Danio rerio: one gene and its partner. The protein of the gene in region 2 binds, or shares a complex with, the protein of the main gene of each other region. Links are inferred from orthologs where the notes say so. Each region holds a gene or a part of one and is shown on either strand. Other genes may lie near its edges. The genes, in order: micos13 and apooa.

Evidence for each region.
Region 1: apooa (region 2) and micos13 share a complex: the UniProt entries of both Homo sapiens proteins name them as parts of the mitochondrial contact site and cristae organizing system (MICOS) complex. The link is inferred for Danio rerio from reciprocal best matches to the Homo sapiens genes APOO and MICOS13.

Annotation. Positions count from the first base shown.
Region 1 is NC_133197.1:19,398,677-19,402,612, reverse strand, and holds the start of micos13 (MICOS complex subunit MIC13), read left to right. Parts: upstream 1-1,335; 5' UTR 1,336-1,482; coding exon 1,483-1,511; intron 1,512-3,565; coding exon 3,566-3,722; intron 3,723-3,936. Other genes in the region: hsd11b1la (hydroxysteroid 11-beta-dehydrogenase 1-like protein precursor), read right to left, coding at 596-680. UniProt on the Homo sapiens protein: Component of the MICOS complex, a large protein complex of the mitochondrial inner membrane that plays crucial roles in the maintenance of crista junctions, inner membrane architecture, and formation of contact sites to the outer membrane.
Region 2 is NC_133180.1:4,980,739-4,984,574, forward strand, and holds part of apooa (apolipoprotein O, a), read right to left. Parts: intron 2,264-3,836; exon of another isoform or gene 2,237-2,263; coding exon 2,132-2,236; exon of another isoform or gene 2,125-2,131; intron 1-2,124. UniProt on the Homo sapiens protein: Component of the MICOS complex, a large protein complex of the mitochondrial inner membrane that plays crucial roles in the maintenance of crista junctions, inner membrane architecture, and formation of contact sites to the outer membrane.

The DNA of each region.
Region 1 (3,936 bases), on a different chromosome or scaffold from region 2:
TCTGTGGATGTTGATGTCAAACTCCAACAGTATTGCAGATTTATAACATTTTAAATGCTTGCTGTTTTATAGACCTGTCGCCTGGGGTTTGAGGATCGAATTAAAATAATTTTAAGAGAAAAAAAGTACTTTAAGAAATAATGTGAACACGTAATGTTAACACGTAGATAAATACATTTATTACACTCTCAGAAATAAAGGTATGCATGCTGTCACTGGGGTGGTACCTTTTCAAAAGGTACAGATTCTAACTTAAAGGCTCCATATTGGTACCTAAAAAGATTATATTATATTAGGAACACTTTTGTACTTTTTAGTAATGTGTACCCTTAAGGTATTAATATATACATTTAAGCACAAATTTGTACCTTTTGAAAAGGTACCACCCCAGTGACAGCCTTTGGAGGCCTACCTTCTGAGAGTGTAGATAGGCTATATTAGTTTTTTGGGTCCACAAATCTTTCCACAAGCTTTCCCACCACTTTGTAGCATAGACTACTTTCTAAATAGCTGTAAAGACATATCACTTATCAATTTACAGACAATAGAATACATTTTACAGCACGTAGATAAACATAAAGGCTGTTAAACTCACCCTCATTAAATGATGGAGCACTCCATCGGACCGCAATGAACGCGACGCATATGCTGCAAAGCAGTAATTTGGCATAAAGCTTCATTTGAAGGAATATGGCAAATCTGTGCACAGCTTACAAAATGCACAACTTTGTAAAGTCAGCAGTCGACACCAAGAGAACAGGCAGAACAGGTTTTTAAATCTAAGTTCAGACAGGCGGAGCTAGTGCCAAAGTACAATCCGGCTTTAGATAACTTGGCAGCTAGCACTTAATGCATTTTGTAACTTCTGTTAATATTGTGTTGTAATAATCAGTCATTCTTGTTTTATTTGCATTATAACGTTAATATTGTGGTTGGGTTTATAAATTCGGAACGACCTGACAGACTATGAAATACAAACCGAAAGTAAGGATAAAAACATAATTATTATTCACTTAGGCTTACTTTTTACTTTTTTAAACTTACTTTTATTATCGTTGGCGACTCTGCTAAAGATTCTTTTTTAATTAATATTACACATACAATCTAAAAAAACGTGATTTTAAAATTAGTCAATCGATCTGAGCCACAGGAAAAACGTGGCGGCACTTTCACCAAATATATAAAACCGAATTGTCTTTTAAAGTAACACCCTTCTACTTTTAATGCTTATATATATAGAATATTCATATGTTCAAAAATACTCAAACATATAATTATTACGTTTTATATGTTCGTCGTTCGTTTTGTCGAATGTGCAGATCTACAGCTGGATTCAAAACGAACTTTATTGCTACCATTTCGGTTTGCTAGAGCAAATGCCCTTGTCGGTGAAACTCGCTGACAAAATAGTAAAACAAAGCATCCTGTGAAGTGTTTTGATACGAAATATTGTTCTTTAGAGCATAATTTTGCTTTTAAAATATGGCTGCTAAGATTTTCCCTGTCGTCAAGTAAGTGTTTATGTGTTGTTTTTGTATCTGAAGCTGGTTGCTAACTAAGTTAGCACACAAGTGTCTGTTTGGGTTTAAGTGTTTTTTTTATACTTTATACATTATTATACTTTATATAATTATATTATATATATATATCTGTATTTACATTAAAATTAAATTACCTCGTATTTTAGTTGCTATTTTTACCTATAATGTCGTTTAAATATAGCTAGCATGCTAATTACTCAATTCAGCAATAACTTTGACAGTAAAAATGTTAAATCCTGTTTTGTATTAGAGTTAATCATATATATTTTAAGTAATCATCATATATTTGGGGTCATAATAACCTGAGAAGCTTGTAAACATGCTCTCTTTCCTTCAGCTTTAACGTACTTTGAATGGCTGTATTTGTGATGAAGGTAAAGTTGTTTCCAGTCAAATAAATAGTGCTAATGTTGTTTTCGAGTCATACTTGCATATGATTTCAGACAGAACCTTCAAAATAATAGAGGTAAAGTTGGTTTTATATTTAGACATTCTCCTCGATAATATAATTATCTTTGCAAATTTTAAATGGGGAAATCATACTAGCAGAATTAGGATATCTTGCGTCCAAAAAAAAAAAAAAAAGTTAAGAAAACGGCCGTTTTTCGGTGTTTCTTTTGATTACAAAAAAACATGATTTTAATAATAACTTTTAATCATTTTATATATATATATATATATATATATATATATATATATATATATATATATGTATATGTATGTGTGTGTGTGTATATAAATAATAACTATACTATTTATATAATTACAAAGTTTACATATTCTGTCATTTGATCAGTTATGAGGCTTACATTCATTGCGTATGCATAAATTAAATAAAAACGTAAATTAGCAGTATTATTAGACTTTTGTCAATAAAATAAGGTCATAGTTCGCTGCCAAACATTGTTGCTGTGCACGCTGTCAAGCTGTGCACCTGATGCTGAGCAAAGATAGCCATTTCCGAGTAGCACCTGGTTTGCATGATTGTTTCCGAGCAAGGCCTTGACAGTAATAATAATAATAATGTTATTATTAATAATAATTTATGTTTATAGTTCACTGCCAAACTTATTGCTGCTGTACACCTGATGCTGAGCAAAGATATACATCTGTGAGCAGCACCTGGTTTCCATGATTGTTTCAGAGCTACTGTAGGCTTAAATAATATAATTATTATTGTTATTATTAATAATAATCATTTTAGCACGTGATGCCCACAGAGAGCACTATGCCAAATTAAGTTCTGTTTAACCTATTTCTGCTTAAATTGTAGAAAATCTTTAAAACGACATGACTAATCAAGACTTTTATTTGGAGAATTACACTTATTAATAACTTGGTTCTTATAAACGATCATTTTATAAAATACATTATTTACAGATCTACTGAAGAATAAGACGAATGACATCAATAACTATAATATATTAAGATTTTATATAAACTATAAATAAGAACATTTAAAGTAATAGAACATTATCTGTAAAACAAATCTAAACTGTTATATAGGCTACAGGCTAAATAAAGGCACCTTGTCAGAGATTTACATCGTGTGCGTTAAAGAGGCAATGAATGTAAGCCTGATAACTGATCAAATGACAGAATATGTAAACTTAGTTTATATAATTATATACATATAACTAAATATTAATAATTCAAAGCCTGGGTATTGTCCTCAGAGGGCTCTTATTTTGGGGGCTACGTCACAAGCTCAGATTTGGTTGACCAATCAGAGGAAAATGGACATTTTAGCACCGCCTACATGAGAATAATGAATTTTAATTGTTTTTTTTTTTTTTTAGTTAAAAAATGGATATGGATTTAATTTAGCAGCCAATGATTATCAAAGTACAGCATTGTTTACAGTAAATTTGATGGTGCTAATGTTGTTTTGAAGTCATACTTCCATGCTAATTCTGACCTAATATTCAAATTAGCATGGAAAGCAATAGAAACAGTTAAATAAAGGAATGTGCAAATATAAAACCAACTTTACCTCATTGTATTTGTGTTTCTTTATGTTTTAGGTTTGCAACAAAAGTGACCATTGCGGGAGGAGCCCTGTATGTGGCATATGATTCAGGACTTCTTGGAGGTAGTAATGAGGGATCTGTGGCCTTGGCCCGAGCTAAATCAGCCATACCACCTGCTGTGGATGAGTGGATGAAGTACTTTGGCTTCGAGGTATGAAAAGAAATGAAACTAAGTGTATGATTGATAACGAAAGTAGAACTTGACTTTTTGATGAAGTGTAAGGCTACAGTATATGGCAGATGGCAGCACTGACATTATTGAATAAAAAGAGAGATAGCGGGGAAGTCTTTTGGGTAATTAAATAGTCTTGATGCACAGAAGACTGTTTACATATGGTATTAAAATGCATCGCAACACCTTCACA
Region 2 (3,836 bases):
TATTAATACTCCCGTGAATTAATTCATTCATACATTTTCAACTGCTTTTCCGGGGCTGGGTTGCGGGGGCAGCAGTCTTGGAAGGAACCCCAGATATTTCCTCCGGGGGGAACCCGAGATGTTCCCAGGCCAGCCAAGAGACATAGTCCCTCCAGCATGTCCTGGGTCTCCCCCGAGGCCTCCTCCCGGTGGGACATGCCTGGAACACCTGCCTAGGTAGGCGTCCAGGAGGCATCTGAAACAGATGCATGAGCCACTTCAGCTGACTTCTCTCACTGTGGAGGAGCAGCGGCTCTAGTCTGAGCTCCTCCCAGGTGTCAAAGCTCCTCACCCTGTCCATAAGGGTGCCACCCTGCCACCCTGTGAAGGAAACTCATGTCGGCCGCTTGTATCCCAGATCTTGTCCTTTCAGTCATGACCCAAAGCTCATGACCATAGGTGAAAGTAGGAGAGTAGATCGACTGGGAAATCGAGAGCTTTGCCTTTCAGCTCAGCTCCTTCTTCACCCCAACGGGGCGGTACATCGACCGTGAAGTGCTTTGAAATGTTTTATTCTATGTTTGAGCTCAAGCACATCACACGAAAAGTGGTTCAAAGGGGACAGGGCATATCAGATACTAGAGAGCATTTGATTGGTCAGAAGATTTGATGGGAAACTGAGGTAAAAAAAAGATCCATTAATGCGGAAGTGGCAAACTGCAAGCTTTACATGTTTATATCATAGGGGTGTAACGATACACTCAGCTCACGATACGATGTGTATCACGATATAATGTTCATGATTCAATATGTATCACGATATTTGGAATAAAAATTTAAAATTAAACTGAAATGCAAATTTTACCAAGTAAACTATTTTTTATGTATTTCTTTTGTTTCAACTTGTTAAACTGAACCTTCTTTACGAAAATAAATTAAACAGGCCTGTCCCTGGAAAATAAAACAATTAAAAAACTTCTTAAAATATTATTGAACATTACTAGCCATTATTGAACTTATTAGCCACATTTCCAGGTATTTAATTCATATTTAATTAAATTCATTTAGAAATATCTCTAATTACAATTGTGACTAGTCAAAACTCATTTAGAGATATCTGCAAATATTTTTCAATGGAAGTCAATGGAGGAATATGACTAGTCATAATATTTTTGCAGATATCTTCAATCTGATATCGTACTAGTACAATTGTAATTGCAGATATCTCTAATTGTCATTCTGACTAGTCGAATTATAATTATGTCTAGTCAAAATATAATTAGAGATATCTCAAAATATATTTATGGATAGTCACAACAAAGGTTTAAATGCTAAAACGGCTTGCCATACGTGCGCGTCTATCAAAGTCCGCCCTCTGTAGTAACAGCTCACGTCATGTGTGATTTTGCGGCGGGAACATTATTTGAAGACAGAATGATATTTTAGGGTGAATTGTACCTTATAAATACAGTATGTGACTCTTTCAACACCATTAGGAGGTATCTCTGTCACTGTGCAAAGTATGTAAATCACTGTGAAGACTTTAAAACTTAGGATGTTTGACCCAGTATGCGTGTCAAAAAGCGGACGAGTCTAAAGCAATGACTGGACAACCGAAATGTTGCCAGACGTCTGATTTTGAGAGGATGGGCCATCCTCTATTTCAGCTTCACTCATCTTGGTCTGCTAACATTACTGCTGCTGCAATCTGAACTCACGTGCGACAGCAGGTGGAACGTAGCTCACATGCAAACAGCTCAACTAATAAGAGAAAACGGACGTCATATCGTAATCAAATCGTCATAACGCCACGATGCATATTGAGACATTTTTGCATCGCAATAAATCGTACAACGATAAATCGTTACACCCCTATTATATCAGCTTTACATCTTCTAAATGTGTATCTTGTCACTGTTTTGTAGCATACTAGCTAATAGATATCCTTAAAACTAACAGACTTAACCTAAAATCTTAAAAAACTTTCACAGGACCATTAAGGGTACAAAAGTACACCCTAAAAGTGCTAATGTTCACCTGTAGCGTGCAAAAGTGTACCTTCTGAAAAGGTTTCACCCCCTGACAGATTTGTCCCCTTATTTCTGACTGTGTACTCATGTTAGTTTCTTCACAGCTGATTTTCAGGCTTTACCTCCTCTACACTGAGTGTTGTTTTGGGCTTGTCATCAGCGGACGCCGCCAGCACTGAGGCTGAAAACAATCCCAGAGTTCCAGAGGCTCCAGCGACTCCTCCAGCCTATCAGAAGAGAGCACCAACAAACCGGTCAGACAGAAAAATAACCTCTTTATCAGAGTCTGTGCTCACTGTCAACATGGCTTTCCTAGTCAATACCATATAGACACACACATTTACACACTATAAGGACAGCACGAAATATTAATGACACACTAATATACTAACATACAACTTTTTAAGGTAAGTGGTTGCAAACAATTCAGCCCATATAGATTGTTTGCAACCTTAAACAAACTTAATAAATCCAATGAATCATTTTTTCAGAGTAAACGTGAACGCACACCAATGTAATTGTTTACACCTTCAAACTGTTACCATCTGGTCAATGATATTGTGTCCCCAGATGTGTAAGGAAAAGGTGGAAATTATAACTGATCCCTGAAGCATTTACACTTTTAATTCTTCCTCTTAATGGTCAGTGGACTGGATGTTTATTTCGATTAGTGGTGCCTTAGTTTGAAAATTGATCTATTTATATAAATGCCTATTATGAAATATTCAAATGTCTCTGTCGGTGTATGCTGCAAATCAAATATCCCAATGGGGAGAAATTAAGTAGATTAAACTAAAAGTTGCTGGGTTCCACAAAATAAAATAGATTTGTGTTGGGCCAACAAGAAGGAATTAAGTTTGAGCACTAAGGTAAAACATCCCCCTTAAAAATTTAGCTGTTTTGGCTCATTTTAAATAAGTGGTTTGAAAATAACAAACAGCAAATTTAATTATTGTGTAGCTAATAATTGTTATTATTTATCACTAACTTACTCAACACCTTTCTGATTTGAAGAGTAATGTAATAATGTGGACTTGTAAATCTGCATTGGAATTATAATGAATGTGAAAAGCGCTGTACAAATAAATAGACTTGAATTGCATACTCAAACTACTCATGCTGCCATTTTGAGGACCTTCAAGGCCCACTGAGTTTAACTGCGAACATTACAAAGGCAGGAGAAACTGGAGGTCAGATGATGTTCATGTGGGGGACAAGGGTTGAACGCTGTTACGTAACGCTGTTTACATCCCATATCTGCTGTCCTTTACATACAGATGAGGCACAACATTGTTAGGCAATGGTGCGTCCAGATTAAAGCCTCTATTGTTTTTGTTAATTGATGTTCTGCTAAAATTAAATATTAATATTAGATTAAATGTTGTCATGGCATATTTGTTTTTAAATTTAATAAAAAATATTAATGAAAGTTTTTAAAATTATTTGATGAAATTATTAAAAATAAAACACTAAATACAAAAGTAATAATAATAATAATAATATTAATAATGAAAGTAAAAAAAAAAGAAATTTAAAAAATAAAAAGTAAAAACAAAAGTAATGATGATGATAATAATAATAATGAAACTTTTAACAAATTTATGAAATTATTAAAAATAAAAAGTAAATGCAAAAGTAATAATAATAATAATAATATTAATAATAAAAGTAAAAAAATATGAAATTTAAAAAATAAAAAGTAAAAACAAAAGTAATGATGATGATAATAATAACAATAATAATAATAATGAAACTTTTACAAATTTATAAAATTATTAAAAATAAAAAGTAAATGCAAAAGTAATGATAATAATAATAATAATAATA